Linked DNA regions of Drosophila melanogaster. The protein of the gene in region 1 interacts with the protein of each later gene in a pairwise test. Each region holds a gene or a part of one and is shown in the gene's direction. Other genes may lie near its edges.

The links.
Region 2: the proteins of obst-A (region 1) and vsg interact in a two-hybrid assay, tested with the Drosophila melanogaster proteins (one large-scale study listed by BioGRID).

The regions. Positions count from the first base shown.
Region 1 is NC_004354.4:20,232,768-20,248,506, forward strand, and holds obst-A (obstructor-A), read left to right. Parts: upstream 1-7,087; 5' UTR 7,088-7,210; coding exon 7,211-7,259; intron 7,260-8,294; coding exon 8,295-8,498; intron 8,499-8,843; coding exon 8,844-9,047; intron 9,048-9,117; coding exon 9,118-9,374; 3' UTR 9,375-10,442; downstream 10,443-15,739. Other genes in the region: sw (short wing), read right to left, coding at 656-676, 1,561-1,623, 2,008-2,135, 2,521-2,667, 2,742-2,896; Peritrophin-A (peritrophin A), read left to right, coding at 12,116-12,167, 14,138-14,353, 14,425-14,619, 14,782-15,011.
Region 2 is NT_037436.4:9,708,047-9,723,947, forward strand, and holds vsg (visgun), read left to right. Parts: upstream 1-6,277; 5' UTR 6,278-6,504; coding exon 6,505-6,577; intron 6,578-7,697; coding exon 7,698-8,176; coding exon of another isoform or gene 8,177-8,416; 3' UTR 8,417-9,670; downstream 9,671-15,901. Other genes in the region: CG16711 (uncharacterized protein), read left to right, coding at 1-422, 492-555; SH3PX1 (SH3 and PX domain containing 1), read right to left, coding at 2,682-2,973, 3,454-4,106, 4,887-5,639; CG18178 (uncharacterized protein), read right to left, coding at 9,813-10,937; CG14174 (uncharacterized protein), read left to right, coding at 11,294-11,375, 11,440-12,401; nbs, read right to left, coding at 12,439-12,519, 12,580-14,114, 14,172-14,993, 15,059-15,077; defl (deflated), read left to right, coding at 15,496-15,901.

The DNA.
Region 1 (15,739 bases):
GAAGAACCCTCAATACTTATAATGGGTCATACATAAATTAAGACAAAAAATTACAAAAAAAAAAATTATGTTAAAACTCAACTTAAAGCGATTACGAAAAGTACTTAAACGAATAAAGAACTTAAAAATTGGGTGGAGATTACAAATTTGTTTTTCATTTTCCATTCAATGAACGATTTTCACACAAGGTCTCTAAGATCTGATACGAACTGATACGAATCTTTTTTCAGGTAGTTATCGAGCTAATTGAAACAAATGTCATATAAATCATATAAAATGTAATAAATATATGTATATAGTCCCAATTGGGATGCAAATCAAAGGACCAAATCGGAAACAAAGATCGAAGAAGCAACTACGAGAAGCTAGGACATAGGGCATATATATATTCTAGGATAGGATTACCATATCAAGCGTACACTAAGCAAGTCAGAAAAACTCTAAGGAGCATAGATCGTGTTGTGGATAGATATTGAGCAAACTACACAAATACATAATGTGAGTATATAGAGAAGTTCAGCATAGAGAGGTTTCAAGGTAATGGTAATATATAGGACTACGGGTATAGATACGCTTCTTACGAGTGGCACACAGACCGCTACGGAGGCTGAAAAGTTCTAAGTACGGAATTACGCATACAACGAGGACTACTCACCATAATAATCCGTAGCATGAGCTGCAGTTTTTTTTTCGTGCGTGCCAAAAACAGTTAAGAGGGAAGAAAGAGAAAGTAAATAGACAAATTATTAAATGCGCTCGAACGGTTTACACTCTAATGATCTATGGGTTCGGATGTGGACATGGATGGATGTGGATGGAAAGATTGATGCTGGACAGCGGTGGCCATGCGGAAATGAGTCGAGACTGCGGCGTTAATGAAGCGAAACAAGGCCAATTGGTGTAATGCTTAGTGCTACCAATAACCTTTACAAAAACGCGACAAAAATTAAAGTAATAATTATAAAAAGGCGTGTTTAAAGAGGGGATAAACATGACACATTGCGTTGCAGTACCATTTACAACCTATATTTTTAAAAGTTCGGATTGAAGTGTTCAGATAGTGTGCTGAATATTGCATAGTATACAAAATAGTGACGAATGGTTTTTGAAATCGTGTCTGAGCTTTTCCAGTTTCGAACATTTATAAAATAAACTAACAAAAACAATTGCTGGGATAGATGGGCTAAATTGAGAGCACTGAAGGAACCAAAAACCAATAATGCGGATTGACCAAATCAAGAGAAATCTGTCATAAGATGATCAATCGACCAGAAACTACGTTTCTTGGGCATTGCAACCAAATTGGGCCGAGGCAAAGCAAAAGGAAGCTGTCTAAATTCAAGCAGTTAAGTAGATAGTCCACCGAATTGTCTACGCATGTACGATGCTGACATCCTTCTGCCTGCAGAGCCTTACAGCAAATTTAGACTAAGTCGTGTGGGCGCTTCACATGGAGCTCTTCGTGTATTCACATGTGTATGCCGCTTCGTTTTGTCACAATAACTTTCGTGTGCTGATGTGTGATTAGGTGTGGAGTTTGCTTAAAATTAAGATTAGTACCTTTACGTGGACGCCACCAGTCCTCCATATATCCTGACAGAGGCGAGGAGTGGCAAGAAAGAACTGTATTTGTTATTTTATTTCACTATGGATTATGGTTTCTGTTTGCATCTTTGTTTTTTTTCTCTGCTGGGAGGGACGGGAGTTGGGGGCACTTGATGGGGAACAAAGCGCGGAAACAGGGTCAGCATGCAGCGGTGTAAGCTAGCACCAGACAGAAAGGGAGAGTTTGGAGCACAGACATGGACAGAGAGAGTGAGAGGGACAGATAGATACACTGCTCCTCCGGCGGACGGTGACGGAGTCTGGGAAACAGCAGGGAAGCCAAACACATTTAACAACGAGACCAAGAATAAGAACGGTAACAGTAGCGAGAGATGGAGTCAAACTATGGATAGTGGTTACGGTAGAGCCCAACCAGATCCCCGCCCCGGGGGCAATACGCACCATCGCCGTTTCCGCCTCCGGTACTGGTCGTCTGGGTCTGCTTTGTGTAGACCAGTGTCTCTTTTGGTGGAATGTTCGTAGCCTGCACATTGTAGACGCTTAGGTTGAGGGGCTGTTTCTTTCCGCCGCTGGTGGGGGGTGCACATAAGAAATTGGTATTAGTTAGGAATCGGTTAAATGGCAATAGCAATAGTACAATACATTGATCGTTAAAACTTAATCAGTACTAAGCCCATTGTCTAATCTGTGTAATACTAATTTTTAAAACGGCTAATGCTAAAATTGAATTGTAAAAATTGCCACGCTCTCTAACCAGGATTCCAATTTTGACTACTGATATTTTTTTATGTTAAGCTTGTAGATGGGGAATCTGTCTCTACAGTTGTTTAGCAAAAAAAACTTAGGGAATCAAATGTCTATACCTATATGACCTGAATATGTCTAATATGCCCTGCGAACTTCTGCTTAAGATGGTAATTCTACTCACAAAGCTTTTGCTATGAACTGGCTTACCTCTGGCCATTGACAGTGGCTTGGAGGCTGGCGTCGGGGGTCTGTGTGTTCGAGTTGTCCGAAGTCATCGAGTTGACGGAGGAGAGTGAGGAAAGGACCTCGGAGACGGGGGCCACGCCCAGCGATGACAGCATTTCGTCGAGATCCCTGAAAGAGGCGAACGAAAGTTGGATGATGGCGGTGCTGAGTCAGCTCTGAGGAGAAGCTTATGGCAAACCCACTTGCGCTGATCCTTGTCGATGCCTGCTCCGCCGCCAATGCGACCGGCCGCCTCCTCCATGTCCTTGATCTCCTTCTCGCGACGCCGGCGATCCTTCTCCTCGCGCAGGGCGGCCAACTTGGCCTTCTTGCGTTCCAGCTCAGCCTTGCGATCCATTTCTCGGGGCGATTAGCTGCTGCGATTTGCTGTTCGAGTGGGCGTTCGGTACGGGACTCTAGATCTCTGGCGGGCCAAGTTCTCTGCAAGGGGGATGCATGATTAATGGTCGCCAATATTGGTAGCTTTGATGATGTCACCAACTGCTGGCCAGAAGCAAAGAAAGTGGGTGCGCTGTGTGGTTCTCCACCGCTCGCTTGGCGTGGCGCAGCCAACTCATATGTTCTCCTATCGCCAAGTGGAGCACATTTCCCGGTAACCCAGTGAGTGGCCGTCACTTTACTTTCCTTTGCTCGGCCAAAAAAAAAAAATCAATAATCCAGCGATTGGACTGTGACGTCTTTTCGCCCTGGCTGCGTTTTTCAACTTCCTTCTCTCACTGCTCTTGTGATTTTTCCATGAAATGCACAAAAACCCACCTCTTGACTGTCTTTACTCGTTGTTCGGCTGCTTTTTAAGTACTTAAATCATCATTTTTCAACAATGTAAAAATGCGACTGACTTTTAATGTTTTGACTAACTAGAGATGGAACATCGCCCACGGCCAGTTACTTCGCACAGTTATTGGCACACGAAGGAGATAATGGGCGCGGCTGGTTTACATAGATGCCCAAAGGGTGTGGAAGACTAGGATTCTTAGCGGGATTCCGAATTCTTAATTAACACAAGTTTAAACACAAGAATAAGATTTTACTACTGTACGGCGATAGCTGTGAACAGCTGTCGTGACAGCGATAGTTCCAGTCTTTCCATGCACTAGCGCAGCGATCTGGCAGCACTACTGCGTTTAGCAGAACGCTGTTAGTTACAGTTACATTTCACATACACTGCAACACACTTTATATTTATTAATATTTATATTTATTTATGGAAGAAATCTACAAATCATGCTTAAATAGAGCTTCAAACTGAATATATATATATATATATATATATATATATTATATTATATATTATTAATTATTAATTATTAATTATTAATATTAATTATAAATATATTAGATTAATATATAATTATATTACCATAATTAATAATAGGTAAAAAGTATGTTAATACAGAGATATGCCGCATTTTAAAATTGTTATGTTATAGGTGGCTTACAGTTATCATAAAAAAGTTTTGCACACTCACACACATGCACTATGAAATATCAGTGTTGCTTTCTGAAGCGTAACTTTTAATTTATAGATTCAAGAGAGGTATCTGTAGGTAAATTCGAATTGATACACAGTACCTTAATGATAATACACTGATGTCCCATATGCATACAAAATTAAATAATCCTTTTAGGTCTAAAATTCAGCTAAAATTAATGCCCACAACCTGTGCATTTGTTTGATTAAAATGCTGAGTGTGAAGTACTACAAAATGTAAAAATTAATTAATTAAGAAAGGTAAGCAAGACTATTCTTGTAAAAAATTACCAATACCGCTGAAATTCCCATAGTGACTCAAAACTACTGAGCTTACAAAATACGTTCAGGGTTCTGAAAGTATGTACATACATACGTATGTACATATGTATGTAGATATGTCGTGTTTTAATTGCCCCTCCAAAGTGCCAATTACATTCAATGCGCGTCTTTGGGCCAGTGAAATCACCAGAACCCGCCGTGGAAATAGAAAGCGCACTTAGGCGATGTGTCTTTCCACAATGTATGCCATAATTTGTGCCACCAATGCCAGATGTTGCTGCAACGCGGGGCGCAAAGCGAATCCAACAGTAGTACGTGCCTTCGGTCGTATCTGAATGTATCCGAAAGTATCTGAAAGTATCTGAAAGATACCGTATCCAAAGTGCCAAGGAAGAGGTTTTCATGGGGTTAAAGCGCCCATGAAACTTTTGGGGATTTTATTTCGATTCGATTTGGCGCATCTGCACATCTGCACATCTGAATTTAAATGCCAGCATTCGACGACCCAAAAACTGTAGTCCGAGTTGCTCGTTTCGTAACCGCATTGATAAACCGGACTCGAACTGGAATCGCTCCGATGATCCCCCATGCTGCAGTAAAAACCTTGAATTGCCAAATCTTCGACTGCTCAACTTTTTGCTCCAGGCCGACAAATCTTGCACATGGGCGGGAGTTGGCAAACCGATGAGCGGATACTTAATATCTTCGCTTTTTCCCCGCGCTAATTGCCAGGCCAAACCTGTCGCACCGAAGTCGAGATGCCAGCGCGATTAGTTTACAAATTAATTTGCCAATTGAATTTCAGATTTAGACGTCTGGCCGGGCTTCCAAGAACCACCTCCACCTGGTTTCCACATGGGATCGGGCGAGAGTAAAAGTGTATTGTTAATTAGCCACTACACGCCGCCAACCTAAACTAGTTTCCCAGCCCGTCTGGTTTGGCCGCATCTCCGATCTCCGATAGCTGATTATATTTTCATTATTTTTTATTTCTTTCCTACTCCGATCGGAGCGGATCGATCGCATCTCCCAAGGACAGCGGCTTTTGGGTCATTGCGTGGCCGCTTAGCATATTTATGCATATATTATGTACATATATTACCGGCATGCTCCGCCGCTTGGCCGCTGGAAGCATCGGGATGACACAGTTTTCCATCCCATGGGCGTAGCTCCTCGGAAATGGCTACACCAAACCAACCCCCCCCCCTCCCCTCCCCCACCAATCACCTGTAGACCAGTTCCCAAGCAGGCAAAACTAGAAATTCTATATTGTATCAGGCATTTCATTGGATTCCTATGGATCACCATGTTTCTAATAGATATACAACATTCAATTTGTAAGATACATTTATTACATTAGTACTTGCTCTTGTTAATTTCATCATATTTTAATATTTCTAAATGATAGTTTATAAAAATGTGCTCTTATTTCAATTATACATATATAATGTATATTATCTTACCTTATTTTACCAAAAGTAATAATGCTAAATTTTTGATTTGCGGGAGTGGCGTTTAAGACATTACCTTCCAACTAATTGGGTGTGTTACTCATTACCAAGTCTTTCATCCGTCCGTCTGCATATATGCAATGTATATATAGTATAATTTAAAGATACAGATCCAGACCGAAACTACGCCCATGGCGTGTCCTCTTCAGCCTTGAAGTCTCAATTTTTGGCTGGCACTTTGGACGAAAGGACGGTCTTCCAACTCCAACTCGTCGCCAAATGGATGGTACCTGTTTGGCTGGCCTTTTGGTCGATCGATGTAAGCCATTTGCATGCGGACCATCAACCCGGCCAACTCAATTCGAGCCAACTGAATTCGGGGATCGTTGACGCATATGAATTTATTTACGTTCATTTTCGTGTGTGTGTGTGTGTTGCTTTTTTGGTCACATCGACACACTGATCGCAGGGAACGCATACCCTACTCGAACCGCATCCATCGGTCGCTCGATCGCATTTGGTTATTTGACGGTCAATACCCGGAAATGTGCAGCTGACCAGATGGCTTACAAGCTGGAATTTTGTATTTTTGCACAGGGTCAACTATTTATTACTCTATATGCCTAAGAACCACCCATTTTTAGCATATAATTTTATTTTTAAGCGAAACAATTGAATTGAAACGCTAATGGAAATCAATTTAACATCTTCTCTACCTGCATAAATGACCGCTAGATGGCTCTGCAGATCAAGATCACTAAAGAATTTGCGGCATTAAAACTGTAATTATACGATAAATAACATTGTTTTTCTTTTTTTTTAATAGCCTTTGAGTATTCTTAAGAGTTCGCTTACAAATACATAGAAGCATTTCCTAATTCTTCCAAGATTTCGATGTAATCTCCAAGTCATCTGATACAGGTGACGCCTTCAACACAGTTGATCAATGCGCGGCCTGAAGAATTCGCGTGGTGCACATTAAGCTAGGGCATCTGGCCAGCGGTTTTCCGGTCCTCGCCCCTGGACTTTCTTGTTTTTGTGCCATTACATCTCTGGCTCGCCTTTCTTCGTCGCCTTTGGAGCCCCGGCTCCATTCCATTCCCATATCCAGTCCAGCTCCAGCCGCAGCTCGTTTGGCCTGGCTCGGTTTCGTGTGGTAGTAGTAGTAGTAGTGGTGGTGGTGGTGGTGGTGATGGTAGTGGCAGTGGCAGTGGCGGGGGCGGTAGTGGCCCCGCCCATTGGCATCACTCTGCCGCAGCCGACGGCGTCGTCGCGTCGTCGGCGACGTCGAGCAGAGCCGGTAAAAAGTCTTGAAAAGTGCGCCTCTTTGGCGTTCCGTTGTTAGTTTAGTTTAACCATCGCAGCGCTTGAGTCGCGATTAGTTGCTCAAGTATCCAGTTGCCAGGATCGTTGCTCTGCTTTTTTTTTCTCAGACCCCGAGTCCAAAATGAAGTTATTTTTATGTGCCATTGCTGTGACCCTGTGTGTGGCGACAAGTGAGTGTGAATCAATGGATCCGTGGGAATGGATCAATGGATCGTTCAATGGATCAGTGGTGCCCAGTTCAAGTGACTGACGACTGACTGGCCAGTGCCAGCCCATCCGCCAAGTCAGAGTCGCAAATTGTTGCTAATTACTTTGACACTGACACCGAAATCAAGACTCGATCTCGATCTGCTGCCGCTGTGTGTTTTGGCCAGCTAAGTAGCTAAGTAGCTAAGAGCTAAGAGCCATAAGTAGCTAATCATATTTAGCCGTCTCGCAAGACTGGGCCTCAGACGCAAATGTTGAATCTGGTCGCGATTGCGGATCTACAGGCCACATGCAGATCGAGATGGAGGGCCGTTTTCCGTCTGGAAAAACTGGAATGCTGGCCAAGCCCAAGATGCTGTCTGGCTGTCTGGGCCGCTGGGGTTATGCAACTCATGCAGTTTGTTGGCCAAGTGGAAAACGGCTCTTCTGGGCCGCAAGAGAAGTGCATTGAACCCGGACCGAACGTCGTAATCTTGGCATTATGCTGAGTATGAAGCCTTCTCTGACATTTAAATTTCGACATTTCGAATCACTTACCGGTGTGTTACGGAAATCCAAAGAATTCGCGTAGTTTGAATTCCCAATTTCGGTTGTAGAAGATATTGTCAGCATAGCGAATGCAAAGGTGTATAGAAGTATGCAGTGATTTTCGCATTGTATACATTTTTTATAGCTATCCTTTAGGCGCCCAAGTAAGAGATTTCACATTGGTTGAGTAAATAGTACTAACCTATATCTAGCTTACCGAAGTCAGTGGGATTCTGGTCAAATGTATCAAGCGATAGCAACCTGTTCCAATGGAAAACCACTGATCATTTCTTGGGCCACCGGGAGTGGTGGCAACCAGGAAACCGCAAATGCGGAATTGCCATCGGTAATCGAACGTCGTTCGATCTGTTACACTTTCGAGTGCGACTGGGGGTCGCCAGGAAAGTGAAAGTGGGAAAACCAGTTGACTGAAGTGCTTGTTTCTTTCCTTTGTTTTACCCCAACACCAGCCGTGTCCGCCGCCAACTTCGAGTGCCCGAAGCCCAATGGCCAGTTCGCCGATGAGGTGCAGTGCGACAAGTTCTACGTCTGCGACGACGGAGTGGCCAAGGCGAAGCTCTGTCCCGATGGCCTGGTCTTCGATCCACTCAACCGCAAGTTCAACAAGTGCGACCAGCCCTTCAATGTGGACTGCGAGGACCGCACTGAGCTCCGTAAGTAGCCCATCCCATCACCATTTCTATTTCTAGGCTATTGTTACCGACCCCTTGGGAATGGTCACGAAAACTATGTCAAGGCAGAGCGCTAAACAGGTTATTCCAATTACATCATTACATCACCATTAACTATGTAGGGAGTTAAATTTAAATTCGCCTCTTAAGTTCAAATTTAGCTTACTAATGAAAGCATCAGTTGAAAGGATGAATTTGTAGCATACTTTTGGACATCTCTATATTTAAAGCAAATACACCACTACAATGAGCTATCCAAAAGTTATGTAGTTGTGTAGCTCCTTTGGTAGACGGAGGAACTAACCCTGTTCGGTTTCCCCTTCACAGAGGAGCCGAAGTCCAGCAAGTACTGCCCGCGCAAGAACGGCTTCTTCGCGCATCCCGATCCCGCCGTGTGCAACATCTTCTACAACTGCATCGAAGGCGACGCCCTGGAGACCAAGTGCACCGTCGGCCTCCACTTCGACGAGTACTCGGGCACCTGCGTGTGGCCGGATACCGCTAAGCGCGAGGGCTGCAATCCGGAGCAGAGTAAGTGGACCGATTGAGTCGCCGTGCGGCGGAGTGGGCTAATGGTCTGGCATGTGGTGTGTACTTTCAGGAACCTCCGAGACCGGCTTCGTGTGCCCCAAGGATCAGCCAAAGACCGACGATCGCGGCCAGGTGGTGACCCACCCCAAGTATCCGCATCCCACCGACTGCCAGAAGTTCTACGTGTGCCTGAACGGCGAGGATCCCAGGGATCTGGGCTGCCAGCTGGGCGAGGTCTACAACGATGCCACCGAGATGTGCGATGCTCCCGAGAATGTGCCCGGCTGCGAGGACTGGTACAAGGATGTGGACGACAAGAAGGACTAAGCCACTTCCGGTCGCTTCTACTTCTCCTCATCACATCCACACTCACAACTCATGCACATGCACACGCACACACAAGCACACTGAAAGAAATTATCAATCAAATCAAATCGAAACAATTCGAAACAAATCAACACACAGATTCGCGTCTTAGTCACTTAAATTTAGTAGTTCTAGCCCATTTCCTATAGAGCGTATGTGTAGCAGTTAAACTTCAATACTCTGACCTATCTATTTCTTAACTATCTTTCTCTATATCTGACTACTTCTAACTACTTTTCTAACTACCCAAATCTCCATTTCTGTGCCCAACCAAACGCTGCCAAATTGTTGTGTATATATTTCCCGCTTTCAGACTTTCGCCTTATTATTATACAAAAAGAATAAACTGAATTTTTTATAAACTATCTATATCTATCTATCTACTATAAACTATCTTCCCAATCCCAAGACTACTACTATTCCATATACTGTTTCAGCTATCCTATGTGATCTTCGCCTAAAATTTCAATTTCCCTCATCTCTACGTTACTCTACTTAACTTCTTATCATATTCCAAAACCAATTTTCTGTCTATAAGGAAACCCACTCTTTACAAACTTTTGTCCTCCTAAAATTTTCAAACTTGAATCTTTTCCGTTCTCTTTTCTTGATTTCTTTCTTTCTATCTTTAAAATTTCAATTTAGTTCGTGTTTTATTGTTTTGCGAACTGTTACGCTACAGTTTATTATTCCTAAAATGCTCCTTTTTTAAGCATTTCAATCCTGTAATCTTGTATTTCACTTCTACCTCAAGTTTCAAATCTAAATCTTTTCTATACATTCTATCTTCCTCATAAATATTTCCTTGTATTTCGATTATACCTACTGTATAAATACTCTTTTAGACTATGCTATATGTTATTTATTAATAAACATCTTGACTTGCCTGCAAAATCCAAACGATAAGAAATTTTCACGTACCTTATTTAAGTAATCATTCAACCGACTGTAAACCCATGACACCCAAACTCACTTCCCATTCTCCGATCTTTCTCGAATTAAAAAAAACTATGTATTTCGAATCTATACAAAACTAGTGTGCATCTCGTGGGGAAATAGCAAAAAAAGGGAGGGGGGGGGGGGGGGGTTGAGTGGTCGATTGACCAATCAATCAAACCTTTCACTCCACACGCAATATCGGATAATCGCCGTGGACGGGCGGGATCGGTGCATCCATTATCCATCATAGCCCTTTGTCCCTCCATCGGTTGCAAAGAGTCTTTAATTGGCCGAGTGGCCAAGCGGACCGCACATTTACACATGTAAATGAACACAAAAAGCAGGCAAGAGTGCTTATGCAATCGCCGCAGCACGAGCAAAGCAAAGCAAAAGCAAAAGTTTTGCAATAGTTAACAATGTAACGGCAATCGGCAAACGGGGCCCAATCATGAATGAAGCTTATGGTCTGCGCGAGCTTTGCCTTTTACTTTCAATCACACATGTTGCCAGAGAAGCTCGATTTCCGCCTTGGCGTGTTTTTCTTTTTCAAGCCAGGAAATGGACCCGAACTAGCTAGGAAACTAGCTAAATCATTGGCAGTGTGGAGCGAAAGCGACCTTGTGCACAGCGTGGATGCTGGATGCATCCTTTTAGATAGCGTTCTAAGTTTTATCTGATTTTATGCAGTGTTTCCACTGTTTGTGGATAACCTAAATTTCAGCTGAATTCGCCATAGCTCGACAATCTTGCAACTGGGAATCAGTAGAAGCTAAAGTACATTTCGCTGTACTATAGAAGTTTATTCTTCATTTCGCTGTACTATAGAAGTTTATTCTTCATTGCATACAACATTATAAGAGATGTAGAAGCACTAGAGATTTCTGCAATGGGATGCGATTGATATGAAACTTTGTATTCCGAATACCACCGAACTGTAAGTCCTCAGATCGAAAATAAATCCCATAAATTCCGTCTGTTATAGGCTCTCAAGTTGGGAAGATGTGGCGAGAAAATGGATTCGAGCGATATAACATTTGGTATATGGTTTGGTATCAAACATATATTCCCAAATTGCGGCTGTTATGTGCAATTAAGAGCGTAAGATGTGGCTGGAATCTGGATGGATTGGCAGCACTGGCAATCCCAAATCCCGTTTTGCATTAAACACCAGCCAGCAACAATGCAACAATGCAACAATGCAACAACAATGCCAGCTGTGACAACACACAGCACCACCCACCGCCCACCTTTGCCGCCCCCAAAAAAAAAATCAAAGGCAAAGCGGTATCGAAAAAAAAAACGAAAAAAGCGAAGTTTTGCAAAACTGTGGTGTCGTTTGTGTGGTTTTTTGTTTTTGATTCGGTTTGGTTTCAGTTATGTTCGGTTTTTCGACCACGTTTCTACTGTATTTTGCCTTTTTTTTGTTTTTTTGTTTTTTTTTTGGCTCTTTGGCTTTGCTGGCGAGTCAACGCTGCGCAGTCGCAGCTCGGCCGCTTCTTCTTCTTCTTCTTGGAGCGCGGTACAAATCTTTTCAGTTGAGTTTGGAACGCGTAACCGTTAAAACGTACAATCTTGGAGCGGAAGTTTCAAGTTTCTCCATTCCACTTTTTGCGCGCATTTGAATATATATATATTTTTTTTACGGTGCGTGTGTGTGCCTTGCTTGTGCTTTTTCACTACTTAATACCACCCATGCATTTCCGCCTAATTCATAAATAATTTGTTTATATCGCATATGTGTTTTTATATGTCAGGCACCAAACATGCAGCGATTCCAAGTGTGCAGCGTCCTGATCCTGGCCTGGATTGCCTGTGGTAAGTGTGCAACAACTATGGCTGCTATTGCAAGTATTACCAGTACCAAAACATAATGCTCTAGAGGGCCTTGGGATAGCGATTCGATGAAACGATTGCCACTCCCGCTCGCAATTAGCACAACCTTTCAATTACTCGCGTGTTTGCGCCTCGAAAACGGAGCTTTTACTTTCAAAAATTCCACTGCAATCGCGTGGAGTGTCCAAATGCGATATATGTATATAATTTATGTACGAACGTCTATATATCGCAGTGCCCCTTCGAATCTAACGGTCTGCTCTTTTGTTCTCGCCTCTAGAATCAAAACGAATCGAATCGAATCGAATCGAGCTCCAGTCTAAATGTATTTTAATTACTGGTTTCTCGAGCCGAAGGCTGCTGCTCCACTTAATCGTAGAGCCCGCCGATCTATAGCCACATCTATACTGCTCCGTACCCTATAGCCATATAACCATGGCTGATTTGGCATGCAGATCATGCGGCCGATCACTTTTGCTTTTGTTTCCACCACTGACTCACTGCAGCGATCTTGGTACTGGGCATGCATATGTACATATGTATGTACACATGTATCATATCATATAATAGCATATAGACATCAGACGTAAGACATCTTAAATCGGCCAGTCGATCCGGCAAGCTAATGAACTAAATAAAACAAATGCCAAACCCTGACAAAAGTAGAACTTGGGCCCGTCAAACCAGTTGACAATTAGGTACGATATCGTTCGCATTATACGATCTAGTTCTGGGTTAACCAAGGCAACCAGTTTCCAACCGGCCCATAAGAAAGGTAGTTGCATAGATCACATCGGATCGCATCGGATTATCGCCATAGATATATCTAATTAATCGCCACCCGTTTTTCGAAAAGCCATCAATGTCGTTTGTGTCACAAGAGGACTGTTTCCCAACTACCAACAACTTCAACACTTCATTCACCACCATGATCCTTAAGCAGTACCATCAATGCTCCTATAAATCTCTATTAGTTGAACATGAACATGGTGGTCATTGTGGTCAATGGAGTACTTAAAGTTTCCAAAGATTTCTATAAGATAGCAAGCTGAAATCATAGAGCAATATGATCGGAGCAAGTTGAACCTCTGAGATAAGGAACAAAAGAATCAGGCAGCGATGACATTTAATCCATAACTTATTGACTTAAATACCGGAAATCTTCACAGATTTCAATTTAGCTGCGTGTTTGCCTTTGGTTTTCGGTTGGCGACTTCGAGAAAATTGTGCGCAGACAGGCAGGCAGACAGCAGTTAGTTCGCTAGTCAGCCACTAGTCACTAGCCATTAGCCATTAACCATTACCCATTAACCAACGACAGCAGTCAACAGTCAACCATCAACCTGTTGCCCGATCTCGATGGCATCGGCGTTTCGGGCTTACATCACACCAGCTCCAAAGCTCCATCGCCACATCTCCATTTCCATTTCCATTTCCAAAGCGATTCGAATCGCTGCTAGACGCGGTGCGAAGATGCGCGAAAGTGTCGTGGTCGCGATTGTGGCGTCACTTGCACTTGCATCAAAACCAGTTGGGCAGGTGAAAAGGCGGAGGCGGAGGCGGTGGAGGAGGAGGAGGGGGAGGCCGATTGGCGGACAGGAAGGAAGTGGACGCCACTGTGGTTCGGGTTTGACAATGGTGGGAACAGTGGTCAACAGTGATTCAAACAATCATCGGTTCAATCGCTACGTTTGCAAGTGCCTATAGCACTTCTACACTGAAAAAAAAAACAAGCGAATGTAATGGTCTAGCTCTTGTAAGTGCAGCGCAAATAAGTACAATTTTTTGATGAATTCAAGGATAGGGAAATAGGTGATGCATTTAGTGAGTTTGTTGTATTGTACGTATTACCTTCCTTGTACGGCTGATATATGTACAATATATAGATTACAAACATAAAAAAATAGTTCTACTATCACAACTATCACAATTGCCATCTGTCCGATTTACAGGACATGCCCTGGCCGTGGGATCCCCGGAGTGCCCCGAGAAGTACGGCGTGCAGGCGTACGCCCACACGGAGAACTGCGACCAGTTCTTCCTCTGCACCAACGGCACCCTGACCCTGGAGACCTGCGAGAACGGACTGCTCTTCGATGGCAAGGGCGCGGTGCACAACCACTGCAACTACAACTGGGCGGTGGACTGCAAGGGCCGCCAGTGGGATCGTGAGTAGCAGCTGGTCGGTCCATCGTGCTGGATTCCCTAACTAAAGCGGTTATTCTTTCTCGCCCGCTAGCCACTCCCATTTCCACGCCGGCCTGCGAGTACCAGTTCGGTCTGTACGCTGTCTCCAAGGACTGCTCCACCACCTACATCAAGTGCGCCCACGGTGAGCCGCACGAGCAGGACTGCGACGCCGGGTTGGCCTACGACGAAAGGATCCATGGCTGCAACTGGCCGGATCAGCTGCTGGAGCACTGCAATCCCGAGGGTGAGATCTAAAGCAAAAGCTGACTACTGGACACTTATGGACACATCAAGTTAGACTTGCAAGCGATTTCCATTCGGTGCTCCATTCCATTCCCCTTTTCGTTCCTAACAGTTGCACAGTGTGTATTCACGTACAAATTTGTAATAACTCGAACTATTCCAGCGGTCGTTGGCTTCAAGTGCCCCACCAAGGTGGACCCCAACTCGGTGGCCGCTCGCTTCTGGCCCTTCCCCCGGTTCCCCGTCGCCGGCGACTGCCACCGCCTGATCACTTGCGTGGAGGGCCATCCGCGCCTGATCAGCTGCGGCGAGGACAAGGTCTTCGACGAGCACACGCTGACCTGCGAGGACCCGGAGTACGCCAGCGGCAGCTGTGCCAACTACGGCAAGTAGGGATCGCCGAGCGATCTGTACATGCACACGAACAAACAAACTGCAACAGTGCAATCTCGATAATGTGAACGTTCAAATTAAAGGAGATACATATGTACATATGTATGTACTTGCTGGCTGCAAATTTGGAGTTATGTTGTTTTGCAGACAACCCCCCCCTCCTAGGTTTACACTGGTTCGCTGCTTCGAGTGCGCACTGTAGGCTCCGACTAACCAACTACTTTCGTCCCTTCATCTCCGCACCTTCGCTGCACTGTAAAAAATGTCCTAGCCCAGTTAGCTTGTTAACCTTTTTGCTTTCTAACCAACCAACCGTCTGTATCTTGCTCTTCTTTCTGTATTATTAACTTGTTTTGTTGTTTGGTCTCTTTTGTATATGAATCGCAATAAAGTTAATTTTATTTATTGTACATTACATCAAGGCGAAAAAGTAGCCATTCTTGGTGGGAGTTTGGTTTGGAAGGTTCTTAAACGACGTACCCATCATAGCCCAGAGCTTTACAATTAGGATTGAGACACGCGACGGCATTAGGAAATATATTAAATATGTTTTATTAAATTGAAATATACCAATTTAGTCTTGTGTAAATCTTAAAATATTTGCTTGTTGCTCTACAAAACCTAAGCTCAAAAATATTACTTTTGGAAGAAAAACATTTAAGTGGTGTTCGTTGAGAGGGACGTTTGGATAATCATTATCATTAGGCAGCTAAAATCAAGCATGCAAA
Region 2 (15,901 bases), on another chromosome or scaffold:
CCTGTGCCGGTGGCCACCGCTGCGCCTCCGGCACCAGCTCCTGCGGAGCACAAACCCAGACTGACCATTAAATCCCTCTCGAATCTGCTGGAACCGGAGGCTAACGTGGTTCCACTTCTCAATGTGCCCTTTGACGGAATGCGAGGGCGTCCCTCCATGCACAAGGCCGTTCCAGATCAGGCCAAGGGTGACGCAGGTACGGGACGCACACTACGCTCCAGTAAAGCCTGCGTCACCTATAATCCCCTCGAGCAGGCCAAGCAGCAAATGCACCCAGCCGCCGCCGCACAGCAGCAGCGCAAGCGGGGCAATATGCTCGCCCAGGACGTGCAGCAGCAACAGCACCAGCAAAATCTTGCAGATGCGGCGGCAGCAGCCGGCATGGATGCCAACTCGGCACTGTGGCATCCTCTCTTCGGAAGGTGAGTGATGTTCCTAACCTAATCATCTTTCCCATCTGTTCAAATTAATCCACATCCGTTCCCTTTCAGCAATCCCAAACAAGGCTACAATAGTCCATGGCAGTGGACCACGGTGACGGCATCAGGTGAATGACAGTCAAGCCGGGCTCAAAAGGAGCCAGCACCTGGATCGGGAACAAGGACGGCCAGCTATGAGGAGCAGCATCAGCAGCAGGACTACAGCAACTATCACGCCTCGGCCAAGCAACAGCAGCAACAGCAACCACAACTTCCAGCAGCCAACAATCAAAACCACAGCAACAATAGTAGCAATAAATTTTGTTATCCAACGGCAGCGGCCATGGAGAATATGTTCCAGAACAATCAGATGGCGGCCGCTGCCGCCGCACGCGAATCCCTGCTGAATTCATATCTTTATCAAAAGGATAGCGATGCCGGCAATTATATGGCGGAGCAGAGCTACTGGCAACAGCACCAGCAACATCACCACCAACAGCAGCAGCAGCAGCAGCATCAACAACAACAGCAGCAGCAACATCAACAGCAGCAACATCAGCAGCAGCAGCAACACCAACAACAGCAACACCAACAGCAGCAACAGCAACAGAAGCAGCTCCAGCAGCAGCAGCAGCAGCATCAATGGAGCGCCAACAACGGCAGCAGCAACCAAAGGAGCAACAATTATGCCAACAACTATGCGGCGGCAGCCGCTGCCTCCATGTACATGCAACACTTCAATCCCTACATGCAACAGAAGGCGGCGCTGCTGGCGGAGAAGGCTGCCCAAGCGGCGGCGGCGGCTGCAGCGGTCCAGAGCAGTAACGGTAGCAATAAGCACGGACGCTTCGGCGGTGACTACGGCTAGGAGTCGTCCGGTGGGTTCACGGTTCAGCTAACCGAAGCGCAAGACACTTTAGCGCATAAACATAAACATATAGGCATATGTAACACTTGCGTGTAATAATAACTATATATTTAGAGGCATCGTATAGGCCGTTTTACCGCCAGGAATTGGTAAAGGATAAACCATGATTTTCCTTTAGTTTAATACACAGGAACAGCAACAACAAGGTAACCGGAACGCAAACAACAATAATTTATAAACAACAAACAAGGTGGTAAACACAAGCAGAGAGCAGTAAACATAAAAAAAAACTTAAATTGAATTAGTAAAAATTTGTTATTGGTAGTTTGTTAACAAAAAAGAAAAACACAAAAAATATGAAAAGAAAACAAAGAGGAAAAAACAAAAAAAAAACACGACAAGTAAACAAAAAATAATGTAGAGCGCGAAAGCGGAAGGCAAAAGCAAAAAAAAACCTAATTATTGTATTATTGTTAACCAAAATCTATTATTATTATTATTATCTCAAGCTGCGTTATATTATTATTATTATTATTAACTCGTGTGTCTGTATATAGCGTTTTTATCTAGATGTATTACACTTAGTGATCCCCCCACAACCCGATTCCCATCCCTGGAAACCCACATCCGACTATCCTCCAAAAATGCCAGGACAATCCTTGGACCCTTCACCTTCACCTATGACCTCGCCAAAAATCAAACGAAAACAAAGCGCAGCGCTAAAAGGCAAACAACCGATTTTGTATCCATTCCGAAATGTGTTTCTTTTTGTTTTTACTAGTTATTACGCTGATTATTTATGAAATCATCATCCCTAACATGTGCAATCTAACACTTATGTTCTAGATACAAAAAAAAAAAACAAAAAAACCAAACAAACACAAGAATCACAAAACTTATTAACGCGAAAATGGCAAAGCAAAAGCATGAACATGAAAATGGAAAAATAAAGAGAACCCTTTTAGAGAATTTCGCTGATAAAGGCAACAGAATAGCAAATCGCCACCGAGACTTTTAATTCAGCGGGTTTGGTTGGATCATCCAAATATGATGATTATGATGCAGATGATGCACTTGCACAAGTGGTTCTGTATAAATATAGTTATATTTGCATCTCAAGTTCAGTGTATAATAGGCATATAAAAGTTAATTTCTGTATAAATACGCAACTTTTCACTTACAAACAACATTATGTAATATTTTTTCTGTTTAACATTTAGTTAGAACCACGCTTAAAGTAAGAGTTCCTTTCGAAGGCATTTGAAATGCGCGCGTGCGAATGTTTTCAGCTATGTATCTCTGTGTGGAAGTGTGTGCCCGGTGCGGTTTCTTTGTGCTCCCAGCCGTCGATCTCTTCAGCGATGAGTCGTCGTCGCCATGGGCCAAGGGCCAATCTACTCAATCTGACGGCTGGCCTCCTGCAGGCGCGCCACCACGCCCTGGTAAAACTTAATCTGTTCGGCAATGAAATTCTTAAGCGTATGCTTCAAATGCGTATCCCGCTCGCTCTTGAAGTGGGTCAGCTCGGCCAGCACCGTGTAGGAGACGACATCTGTGCGCCGGTTAACGTCGTGCAACTGGGGATTATTCATCCTGCCCTCGCCGGCCAATTTCTCGCAGTCCTTTCGCTTCTGTATGGCACCCTTGTGCGTGGAGAAGATGTCCGGAAAGCAGTTGAGAACGCCCCTATTTGGAAAAGTGAAAGTAAGAATTAGATAATGCTTCTAGATCGTTCTATAAACAAATAGCGACGGAAAGTTACCACATTCTCTAGAAGTTATATATATATTATACATATGTATATCTATGTATATATTTCTTGTTAAACTAAAGGTCAGTCAGCGTAAGAACCACAATAATCTAAAATAAACTATTGGCCAACAATCGATTTTTCTCGCGAAACTATACATTGATTCATTGCTTAAAAGTAAACAATTTGAGTTCTTTATAAATAAACTTGATACCTTAAAAACAATTTACAAGAAAGTAATCTATCGAAAATTTTTAATTGTGAGTAATTCAGCCATATATGTATGTGCCTATTGTAACTTCTAGTATAGAAATGACACATGTCGTGGAATTCCCATTTTCAGTCAGCTAATCAATTACTGATGAATGAAACGAAATGTGCTATGCTTCCCATCACTTATAGAGACGTCAACCCACCTGTAGATGTGAAGTCGATCCGAGAGGGGAATCCAATCATGCTTTGGCTGGTCGCCAAAGGCCTGTCCAATACCGATAAAGATGCCACCGATGCGGCCGACGCTCTCGGAGAGCGGAACCGCGTTTCGGGTGGGCGCACGCCGCTCATCGATGGCCAATGCCTTGGCCAGGTCGGAGAGTCCGTCGCCAATGCGCTGGAACTCCTTTTTACTCTGCGACATGGAGCGCTTGGCCATGTCGTTGGATATATTGTTCAGGTTGCGTACTGCCACGTCCATGCTGTGTATGAACTGGGTGCCCAGCTCCACCTGTGCGTCCACCTTAGAGTGCAGCAGGTTCTTGTCCGGCGGCGAGATGGCCAGGCAGTAGTTGACGCCCATGTAGGGATCCCGTTCCGCCTTGCGTTTGCCCGACTTCCAGATCTTCTCGTCGCGGCAAGTGAGGAAATGGTACCAGACCTCGCATTTGGAGATCACCGGATGGCGGCACACCCAGTCGACGAACTCCTGCAGCTGCACACGTCGATGCTCCACGAATTGCTCCTCATAGCGGCCGGAGATCTGCTTGTCCGGCAGCGGTGGCACCGGAATCAGGCAAAACTTGTCCACCAAACGTTCGTGCAGCCAGTCGAAGTGCTTGTAGCGACGTGACACCTAACGAAAGGGAAACCCAGATTAGATATGACCAATTAATTGTGATTGGGTCACGCAAAGAGGAGCCCGGAGCTCGGGGGGTCAGAGCTCGTTGCTGAGTCATTCCCCGTGGCGGTTCGCAAGCACAAGCAATCATCGCAGTGCCGCTGGCTACCAGTTGGTCAGAATTGCCCCCACAAAGAAGAATTTTAAGTGCTTTTACGACTCTGTAATGCTCTACCTATTTGTATGTGTATTTTAATGGACTGAAAGAACTTTACAAAGAGCTTTGATTTCAGTTCGAAAGTAATGTCGAGCATTTATGCTTCTCATTATTGTAATGAATAAAGTTGATCGAAATTATCAAAATACTATTTAAGTAGCTAATAAGAAATGAACTATAGCTTTGAATAGTATTAAAACTTTAACAAATAAAAAGATAAATTTAGCCAATTTTCAGAGTCTTAATAAAACAAACCAATTAAAGAAATGGATATGATCTCCATTTAAATTTTCTCAGCAAAAAAGGGTCACTTTTAAGGTCAACTCAGTTGGAAAATGTTGGCCGGCAATTAGTGCGGAGTTTCGATAAACAAAGGATTGGTCTTTCTTTATTCCATTCCATCTGCTCGTGAGCACATGAACCAGCCCAAATTACCCTTGGCAGAGGGTAGCGAACACAGCACAGACACATATTATCAACAAAATATTGCACCCGTAGTTACACACTCATGCGCCAACGGTCGGAGCTTTATCGTATTGTGTTGTTAATCACGGCGATATCAGGGTTGGCCAACTTACGGATATGTTGTTGAAGCTAGGCGTCAGTTGGTAGGCAATGAACGTCTTCATCCCCTTGAATTTGGACTCCTTTTTGGGACTGGCCACCACAACGGAGTAGGGCGAATGGTTCTGCGTCCACTGGTAGATCGAGTCCTCCACCTGTGTAATGTAGGCCATCTCGCATTCGGGTATCTTCTCCTTGGTGCTGGACAAGCCGAGTATATATGAATCGGAACTTTTGGCGAACATGCCCTTTTTGACGGTGCCAGCAGCACCAGTCCCACCAGCCACGGAGGCCAGTGATTGGGTATCATCGTTGGGCGCGATGGGCAGGTGTTTGTTATCGTAGTCACTGGTGGAATGCGACAATCCGCCAGCGCGAGCCGACTGTCCCGCAGACTTCTGGCCACCTGGACCAATTTCCGAGTACGTGTCATTGTCGTCGCTCCAATCGTCCTCATCATCCCAGTTGCTGCCATCATCATCCGCCGTCTGATCGTAACGCGGCAAAGGGGGCGAGGCGAAGGGATCCGGAACCTGTGGCACCGACGTCGCTCCACTGGCGCTCAGCTTCTGGGCTTCGGCCGCCGACATCACCTCCACGTACGCAGCCGGGAAGAGGCCAATCTGGCCACGGGCATTCTTGCCCTCCCACCAGCCTTCACCCACATCGCTCCGGGTCACCGAGAGCACGTCGCCAGTCGCGATGGAGAGCTCCGAGGAGCCCGGCTCCCCGGTAAAGTCGTACATGGCACGCACGTACGAGGTCATCTTGGTGCTCTCCTGGTCGTTCCTTTACGCTAATTCGAGTCCTGTCTTCACAGGGGCCATAAACAGACAAGAAATATCTACTAATTCTGAATCACCAAGTGTGAAGTGTTACCGTTTCTTGGATTACGGAATTAAACTGACACTGACGTCTTCTTCGCTCTGCAGCAACAAGATATAATGATGATACAGCAATTTTATTAGGGGTATTCCCCCAACACACCTGAATTCTACACTTGGAACAGAGGCACTCTCTAATTTGATAAATAATTATAAAAACTTCATATTTATACTGTACTACTACTATATACTCACTAAAATAAAATAATATAAATGGTACATTTAAGTCGATCAAATTAAATTAATGAGTTATTGCGTTATCAAGAAAGATTTAGCTGTGAAAAATTACTTATGTTTATATAGATTTAACCTACAAATATTTCAAATAAATTGCTAGGTGGGTATACAATTTTATAGTAATAAATCAAGTAAAATATAAGGACAAATTTATGATCATAATTTTATATTGCACCAAATGCGAGGCGTTTCAACTACATTACGGTCTCCCCCTACTGATAAGCGCCGAGTGCCAGGGCTGCAGAGCACGGCTCAGCTGTCGATGTATCGGGATGCATCGAAGTATCGAGTTGGCATAAAAGAATCTGGTCTTCGTGTCGTGTTATTCATTCCTTAATTGCGCCTTGCTTTAATTTGTGGGTGAGCGAAATCGGAGCTCGGCGACATCGCCAGTTGTGCAATACTGACTCCAGCGGTATCTGTTAATCCCCAACCACTTCGCAAACGTATTTTCTTTGCCTTGCAGATTTGCTGACTTTGTCGTTCGAGTACTCAGCGTTTAACGACCACAATGAATCGGCAGGCGAAATTCCTAATCTTGTGCCTCTTTGTGGGCCTCTTCTCCGCGAATTTGTGCGAAGAAGGTGAGTCTTTGATCAAATTACACCGAATTAAAATCGAATTGAAGACACGCCGAACACTCATTTCTCAATTATGCACTCGGACACACACACACACACGCTTGCATGTGCATGCGTACGTGTGCGCAAACCCCTCGCGTGTGTGCGCCGTGCGGGCATGTGGGTGTGTGTGTGCATGAATGTGCGTGTGTGTGGATGTGGGGGTTTTTTAAATGCCAATTCCTATATTGAATATCAATTCTCCGGCCATTTTCTCTTACTCCGACTTTGGGGGAATGTTCTCCGCATAAGAACTGCAAATCTACAGCTTTCCAAAAGAAACTTGGAATTTACGAAAGTCCGTAAATTGTCACATTACCATACGTTAATATTTGTGGACATTTGGTAAATATGTATTTACCGAGCTGTAACCATATTTTGTTCGCAAGCATTTATTTAAATCGTCACGTCCTAATTACCATACGAAAATATTTGTACATATTTTAGGATTTAAAGAGATTTTGACCATATTTTGTTGACAAACAATTTAATGTTTACTTTTTCAGCTTTCTTAAATTTCCATTCCTTAAATTCCATTATTGCATACAAATAAATATCACCTAAATGCTGCCTATTTTGAATATAGTAATCTTTATTTTCCGAACCAAATCAATTTGTTTTGTTACGTTTTTCTATTTTGTTTGACAATTTTGACATCATTTACATGTGCAATGGAACTATTTTTATTTTCAATTCTTACAAAACATGTGTATTCGTTGTGCTTTTTGAAATATTGGAAATCGATCAATAAGAGTCGTTGTGAACTTATCATGCTTACCAATTTATTTGCTTTTAACTTTGGAGTGACGCATAAGTTTTTATCTATAATATTCGTTGCTGATTACTGCACACAAGCCCTGTTTTTTTGAAGCTATGATAGGCGCTGTTCTTACTTAAAATTATTTTTTTACGATGTATTCATTCTGAAATAAGAAATATGAACGTATCAAAAAGGGTTGATTAAAAAAAACCACACATTGGGTTCATTACTATAATATTTACTACACTTGAGTCTATCTGATGTGAAATAGTTTTACGAACTTATCATAAGCTAATATTTATAAACTCTTTTTATTTGCCTTAGCAGTGACCACACCGGCTCCAGCGGACACCACCACCCAGGAATCCAAGAACACCACCACTCCGCCGGACACCACCACTACTGTGACGCCACCGTCGACCTCAACCACGAGCACCACAACTGAAAAGACCACGACGACGCCACCAATTACCACATCGACTGAGAAGACCACAACTTCCACTACTCCAGCCAGCACCACCAGCAGCACCACTCCGGCCAGCACCACCAGCAGCACCACTCCGGCAACGACCACCACCACGCCTGGAACTACATCTACGACCACTCCGTCTCCGAACTCGACCACAACTACGCCGCCGCCACACACATCAACCACTCCGGCGCCGAAGCCCGTGCCGTGCGGTCATTTCGATGGATCCTCGTTCATTGGCGGCATTGTGCTGACTCTGGGCCTGCTCGCTATCGGCTTAGTGGCCTACAAGTTCTACAAGGCCCGCAACGAGCGCAACTACCACACCCTTTGAGCCGCCACCGCCTTTACGTCGGCCTTCAATGCGGCAGCCGGAGCTGCGGCGGCCAGCAGCAGTGCCGCATCCACGGATGCGGAGCGCGTGCGGTTTGTCCAGCCTTCGATACCGCTAAGGTCGCCGCCAACGCAGCCGCCACCACCACCACCCACCCACATGGGTGGCAGTGGTGGTGGTGCGGCTGCAGCTCCACAAAACTGCTCGCCGTCGGCCCGAGATCGGTTGCTGCACACGTAATTTAAAAGCGGGGAGCCACACCATATTACCCAATATAATTAATATCCAAAGAGATGCCCCTATACCCCGATTCCCCAACAAAACACACACACACACACAGAGATACAAACGGCAGTCAAGTAAAGTCAGTTCTTAAATTGAAACGATAACCCCCTGAGCGGATTTAATACGGGCCCAGATAGTAGGAGCAGGCTCTACATTCTTGAATTACTTCCCTTATCTCAGTCATACAGAAAATGTAAAAACAAAGTAAATATTTTTCCTTTAATGCATTGCATTCAATATGTAAGGGTACGGTTTTTTGCAAACATCAGTTTATCAGCAACTTGAGCGGATGTTCAACGCCTTATATAAGAGGAGTCCGGGGAGCCTGTCACAGGGTCTTCCCAGGGCGACCATGAACCGAGAAATGAGTTATGAGATCGAAACGAAACGAGACGAGAGGAGTAAGAACAAATAACAGCAAATATGTGAGACTGCTTGATAGCGAGAAAGTGAAGAGATCAGAAAGTGGAAAGCGGCTGGCGACGGCTTTGTTTCTGTAATTCATAGGGAGCTACGAAAAGGAAATATAAATTTTTATTATATTTACACAATTTTTGAATAACTAAAATCGATTCATTCTAGGAACTAAGAATACATATGTACTACCTAAAACCGAGCTAAACACAATGGGAAACGCGTTTCAATTTTCTCATTTAATGTGCATTTTTTCTCCGGTCTTTGCCCACTTGTTCTATCGATTCTGCTCACCCCGCCATTCCCGGGGTCCGTAGTATTGCAAAAAATCAATATAGCTACTAACGATGCACAGCAACAGGATTTACGGATTGCCGTGCACGGTTGATATGCGTTTATATGCGATATAAACAAATGTACACATGTTTGTATACTGCTGAAGTAGATTTTGATTCGAGATTCGATGAAAGCCCCATGTTAATGCATACACGCAAATGTTGAATATTTTGTACTAGAATGGAAACTATACATATGAATTACGTTTACCTAACCATACCGCGCTTGCTGTTGGATTAATACACATTTGAAGCTACAAATCGATCACATAAGCCCGTCAAGTTTACGCAAATGAACGAAAACTCTGTTGCACATGAAAATCTAATAAGTATATAAGCTAAAGTAACCAATCAATGTATATCCAGTAAATCACTCAGCCGGCTTACTAATAATATATATATTTATATATATATATCTATGTCTGTATATCGTGTACGATAATAAATATTTTAAAAATTTAACTGCATTCTTACTGTACTAGCAACCACTGTAAACCAGAATTTACGATTGAAACACGTTTCGCATATTGGTTTTTTACACCTAATTAATGGTCAATCAAAAGGGGGGAATTTTATTTAAATTATCAAACATTAACTACACTCTATTCTGCGGTTAGTTTCTTTAACTTCTTGGGTGTCTTAATATTAGGTGTTTTCTCCTTGGGCGACTTTCTCTTAAGGTTTTCCTTCGGCTGGTGCTTAGTATTTACTTCTGGTTTCTTAATTTTAGGTGCTTCTCCTTTTTCCGACTTGGACTTCTTATCGTTTTGTTTCGTACTCAGTGGATTCTTCTCTGGGGATTTCCCTTTCTCGGCCTTTCGCTTGAGCTTATTTTTAGAGCTCCGCTTGTTCTGAGTGTTGAAGCGCAATATAAGTGGCGTGCCAGCCAGGCTGAGCTTCTCCTTGATGGCCTTGCGTGCATCGTGGGTCGTTGGCAGGGTTACGGTCGCCGTGCTGTAGTCCCGGAATTTACCCTTGCCCGGTCGTATTTGAATGTCCACTGCCTGGTCGTGGAACAGCTGGCGCACCTGGGGCAACGAACTGGTCTTTGGCAGATTGGTAATGACCACGGACGAGGTGAAGTTACCCTTGGTGAGGACCTTCTTAGTAGCACGCTTCATCAGGGCCTTGGTACGTTTGTTTACGATGGATGTCTGCTTGCGGGTCACCAGCTCGTTGACAAAATCATCGGAATCCGTCTTAGGCAGTGATACGAATAAGCCCTTGTGCTTGTCATCCTTTTCGATCGAAGCCTTGATATCCTTAAAGGCTTGATCGCGATCTTCCTTCGACTTGAAATCGACGAGGCAGAAACGTGCATGCTTCTGGCGAGGCTTTGTGGACTTCAGAACCAGTGGATGCAGAGCCTTCACCTTGGCATTGAATTCATCCAAGTCCAGGGGCAGTTTTTGGGGAAACCGGACATACAGCCGGGTGCCCTTTAACTGCTCGTACTTGGTGTGGATCTTCTCGTCGATAATCTCGGCACGGCTTTTGGGCTGCGGTTTGATTGTATCTTCCTCCTCACCATCATCTTCATCGGATTCGGTGTCACTGGCGTCCAGATCCAGTTCGGATCCATCGGAATCTTCGTCTTCGGAGTCGTCCGCCTGCAGCTGGTCCTCGTCGGAGTCCTCTGCCTGTAGCTCCTCCTCGTCGGAAGCCTCGGAGTTTTCGGACTGCACTTCCTCCTCCTCGGATGCACTTTCCACCTGCTTTTTCTTCATGTTTTACCGGAAAATTAAAATGTTTTCTTTTCGAATTCAACTTGCACGTGTAAACGGCGGTGTGACCAGATCTTAACAAAAAACTAAAGGCCGACTAATCAAAGCTAGAATTAGTGATGACAATCTGCTTACCAAAATCTAACCGAAAGTGTATATATTAGAAAATATTTAATGAATGTATAAATTTTTTATAGAATTAAGATGCATAGCCTATATATGGTTTAAATATATACCGATACTTTGTATTGGCGCTGTGGACTTCGGCTAATTCCGATACAACAAATCTAGCTATAAAAAAACAAACAGCTCTGACGGACAGTTTCTTTTATTTAGAATTTTCAAACCACAACACGAAAATGGAAAATGAATTCTTTTGGAATGACTTTAAATTGAAACAACCTCCGTTGGTGACGCTGCTGGTGAAGGACACGGGTTTCGGTATGTTGTTACCCTTGGCCATCTGAAACAATCACAAAATCAAGGGATCTCTCCTTCCAAACAGCAAAAAATGTGTTCGTGGTCATCAACAGGTTCCTGCAACAGTTGTCCGAACCGGATGCCAAGGATTTCGAGGAGACGGCGGCGATGATTGGACGACTAATGGCTCGCCGGAAGAACTCCTTCCGCAATATGCCGGGATTTCGTTCCGTCTGCAAACTTAATGCGGCACTGTGCCGCCTGCTGCGCTTGGATTTGGCCAGGGATCTGAAAAACTTTCGCGGTGTGCTGCCGGATGTGTGCGATGAAGATTTGGGCGGAGCCATGCCCACGCGAAGCAGCTTTGAGTTTATTTTGGTGCGTCTCCTGGGTTTTTATCATCTGCACGAGCGGATCAGGGAATGCTGCCTCAGTGCAGCCGCATACTTCACTCAACTCCTGCGCAACAACTTCTTCATGGACTTCACCACGCTGCTAATCGCTGCCATTGCCAAGATTAGCAAACTGAGCTCCTTGCAGGCCGGCAAAAGTGCCATACTTTACAACAAACTGCGCCCCCAGATTGCTAACTTTCCGCAGGTGGAGAAGCACAAGTTTCTGGCGGAGAATCAAGAGCTTCCTGCCAGATTAGAACCTCCAACGAGAACTAATAACCAAACGCAGAAAGACGAAACACCAGACATTGTCCTGATACCGAAAAAAGTCGTCACCAAAGTAGAAAAAGCCAAACTGTTGGCCAAATCTGATGTGGGCACCATAATTGCCAGGAAGGAAACACCCGTTCAAGATACAAAGAAACCCACATTCAATGAAAACGTTCTGGCCACGGTGGCGGATGCACAGAAGTTCATTGAACGCGAGTCGCAGGCCAGGAAACTGAATCCTCCTCCAGAAAGTTGTTTTACCAGAAAGATAGCCAAGCACGAGTGGCTGGCCGCACAGACGATGTTCAATCGCAAGTTGTCCAAGGAGCCGGAAAAGGCGTTGAACATATTTCGCAAGTTTATTGTTAGCAAAATAAAGTAACTTCACAAGCGACGGTTAATTACGTTTAGGCACGACATTAAACACAGGTTACCATACCATCAGCCAGCCGAAGACTCTTAAGCGCAACAATTCGCTTTTGGGGATGAGGATTTTTGGTCTAACAGAGGTACACAAATAAATAAGTCGTTTTAATATTTGTTATTAATTCGAGACTCACCTTTACAAACTTCTTAAAGTTCTTGCGGCCGCCATGCTTGTTCACAGAATCCTCAAGAGAAGCATCCACTTCCTCCTGGGAGCGAATGACAATGTTTAAGTTGCACATGCGCACCTCAATGCTGTCTTTCATGGCGGCCAGCCATTGCTCCTCATCGGGATCCGCCTTAATAGAGGTTTCCATCTTAACTGAGTCTGCATCTATTTCGGATTTGATATTATCGTTTAGCCTGCTACACGATAACCAACCACTGATGTCCACTTTCTTGGGTCTATCTCTACGCGGTGCCACTATGTACTTGGATTGCTTCTTGCTTTCCGTTTCGGGTACAAATGGTTCGGTTAACCGGGAATCCTCGTCATCATGATCAGACGGTCTTTCAGAGTTGAAGTTAAACAAGCCATCCGTGGAGTCATCATTTCTCTGAGCCTCTTGCGTCTTTCGTTTCTTTTTGCTGTCTGCAAAGTTAAAAAGATTATCACAATCATCGCTGTCGCTTTCGTTTAGCAGCTCAAGGCGTAAACGCTTGCGCGGTTGTGTCTGGGATTGGGACTCCAATTGGGGTGGCACTGGAGCTGGTTCTTGTGCCTGTGATTTCTCTAGAAAGTCGACTACACTGATTCTGGCAGGTGCATTGCCTTTGCCTGCGATTCTTGGCTGAACCACAGTCTCTGCTGGCTTCTGTGGAGATTTACGGAATTGAAATAGGTCCCCTTCATCTTCTTCGTCACTCGAGGCCACCGATAAAACAGGACGTTTTGCAGGCACTGCATGTTTGTCAGCCGGTTGGTTGGTAATATTTGTGGCCAATGATTTCCCATTGAGTCGTGGTGAAATCCTGGTGGCAACGGGTGCTTCCGTTTTCTTCTTGGCCATCGAAGGGATAGTTGGAGCTGGCGTTTCTTTTGGTTTCCGAGCATTTTCGTTCTCCTCATCCGATGAGTCAACACAAAAAACCTGTTTGGTCTTCCGTGTTATGTGCTTACTCGCAGCTGGAACAGGTGGATGTACGGATTTCTCCTCAGCGATGGCTTTGCTCTGCCTTGTTACTCGTTGAACTGGAGCAGGCGCCGGAGCTGGTGTCACATCTTCTTCCAAAGACGAGTCCAACAATATGGCATTCTTTGATTTCATGGTCAGTTTCGTAGCGATATCCGATTTAGCTCGCTTAGACAATGTTGATTTCTTCTCCTCGTCCGAGGAGTCAACTGTTGAGGCATGACTCCGCTTACGCAAAGAAGCTTGGTCCTCCGAATGGGGCTTAGAAGCATCTTGTTCCATTTCACATTCAATTGACTCAGGCACCACCAGTTCGGAAATGGGCGTGGCATTGGATTGCGCCGAGTGGCGTTCCGTGTTGGGCACAATGATCGAAGAGTTAAAGGCCATCGAGGAAGTTACAGACTCCGTGGTGGGCAATGAATCGGAGATGAACTTGTGCGTTGGGTTGCAGAATTCTGTTATAGAGCAATGTATTAGGGCCATGCCAATCTCGTACTCCTGGATAATACGTCGACCATTCTGTTCCAAAATATCTAAAAATTATAATACATAATAATACTTAAACGCTGTGATGTGAGCAATATATTTACACCTATCTTGTATACTATTGATTGATTCAGTGGCCTGCGACTGGGACGATGGCACATACTGTATGACTATCACATCACTCTTTGTTAGGAATGTTTTGCGCACACCCGAATTGATGTCCTTGCACGTGGCTCCAGCCTTCTGCACAACTGATCCGTACATATCAAAGTGTTTGCGGTTCATGAAGACGAATGTCTTGCCGGCGAAGAGACGGGTACGCTCAGGACGCCAGGTGACATCTATGTTGGTGGGCTGGTAATCCTCCGGCTGAGGCCAGCCCTCCTTGACATGGATGCTCTGCGCTGCCTGCAGCATCTTTCGCCAGTAGGGGAATGTCACAATCGGCTTATTCTCGAGCATAGCGTGCAGTAGTTTCACGGTCACCGAAACTTCGTTCATGGTTAGATGGGAGCACTCTTCGGTCCAGTTCGAAGTGACCGTGCCGCCCATGGGTTCAAGCATCTTCGTGAGCTCCTGGACCTCGGAACGCGTTAATGCGGAGACAGTTGTAACCAACTTCAGTTGGGTCACCTGCCAAATGCTCATGTTTGCGCCAAATCGCAAGCGTGTGCCCACAGGCAATGGAGTCGATGTTTTGGCAGGCACCTTGCGCGGCTTTTGGGAATTCTTGGGGAAAATGAAAGTGCCATATCTGGAGCCAAGGTCCTCGATATGCAGGGTGTCATCGCCATCCGCTTCCGTTTGGATGAGCAGCTGGGCATGATTGCGACTTATACTGAGGTCCTGCGCAACAATTAAATCCGTGGCCAGGCGACCAATGGTGTACACCTTTTTGCCAGGAAACAACACAAACTTTTCGTCATCTATAAAGAGTATTTAAAAAATGAATAAACTAATAATCTCTGTGTTTTAGACCATTTTTACGTGCCTTTAGTCAAAACAAACATAATTTCAAAACATTAACAAATTCAACAAATAGCGAGCAGTGTGACCTTAGCAGATTTGCAAATTATCTACACAGAGACAAAGAAGGAGTGAGAATAATAGGCTACATCACTTTCTACATAATTTTCTAAGTTAATAGTTGTTTCTTAAATTGATTTTTTTCTTATTTTAGAAATCAGGATAATTTTATTATCGATCGACAAACGCTTATAAAGAATTGACAATATAGACTTTGGATTCAAACGTTTTTTTTACTGTTAAGTGACCAGCTATCGCTGCAATGATACCGGAGTTTCCTACGAACGACAAATTAGCAAGAAGAAGCATTTGCAGCCGGTTTGTTTTTGTGTCGTTTGGCTAATGAAAACCTCAATAAACACGATTTATCTGCGATAAATGTGAGTGAGGAAACCTGTAACCATGTCTCACCTGACCGGCACCCGCGTGAGCACCTTCAACGAGAGCTTCCTTAACGAAAATGAGCACGACTCGAATGCGGTGCTCATGGAACTGGACAAGGGACTGCGGAGCACCAAGCAGGGAATCCAGTGCGAGGCGGTCGTCCGCTTTCCGCGCCTCTTCGAGAAGTATCCGTTTCCCATTCTCATCAACTCGTCGTTCATTAAGCTGGCCGATTACTTTGTCAGCGGATCGAATCTGCTGCGCTTCTGGGTGCTCCGTGTTTGCCAGCAGAGCGAGAATCATCTGGACAAGATCCTCAACATTGACAGCTTTGTGCGCTGTATCTTTGTGGTGATGCACTCCAACGATCCGGTGGCGCGTGCTCTCCTCCTGCGCACCTTGGGCGCCGTTTCCCGTGTGATTC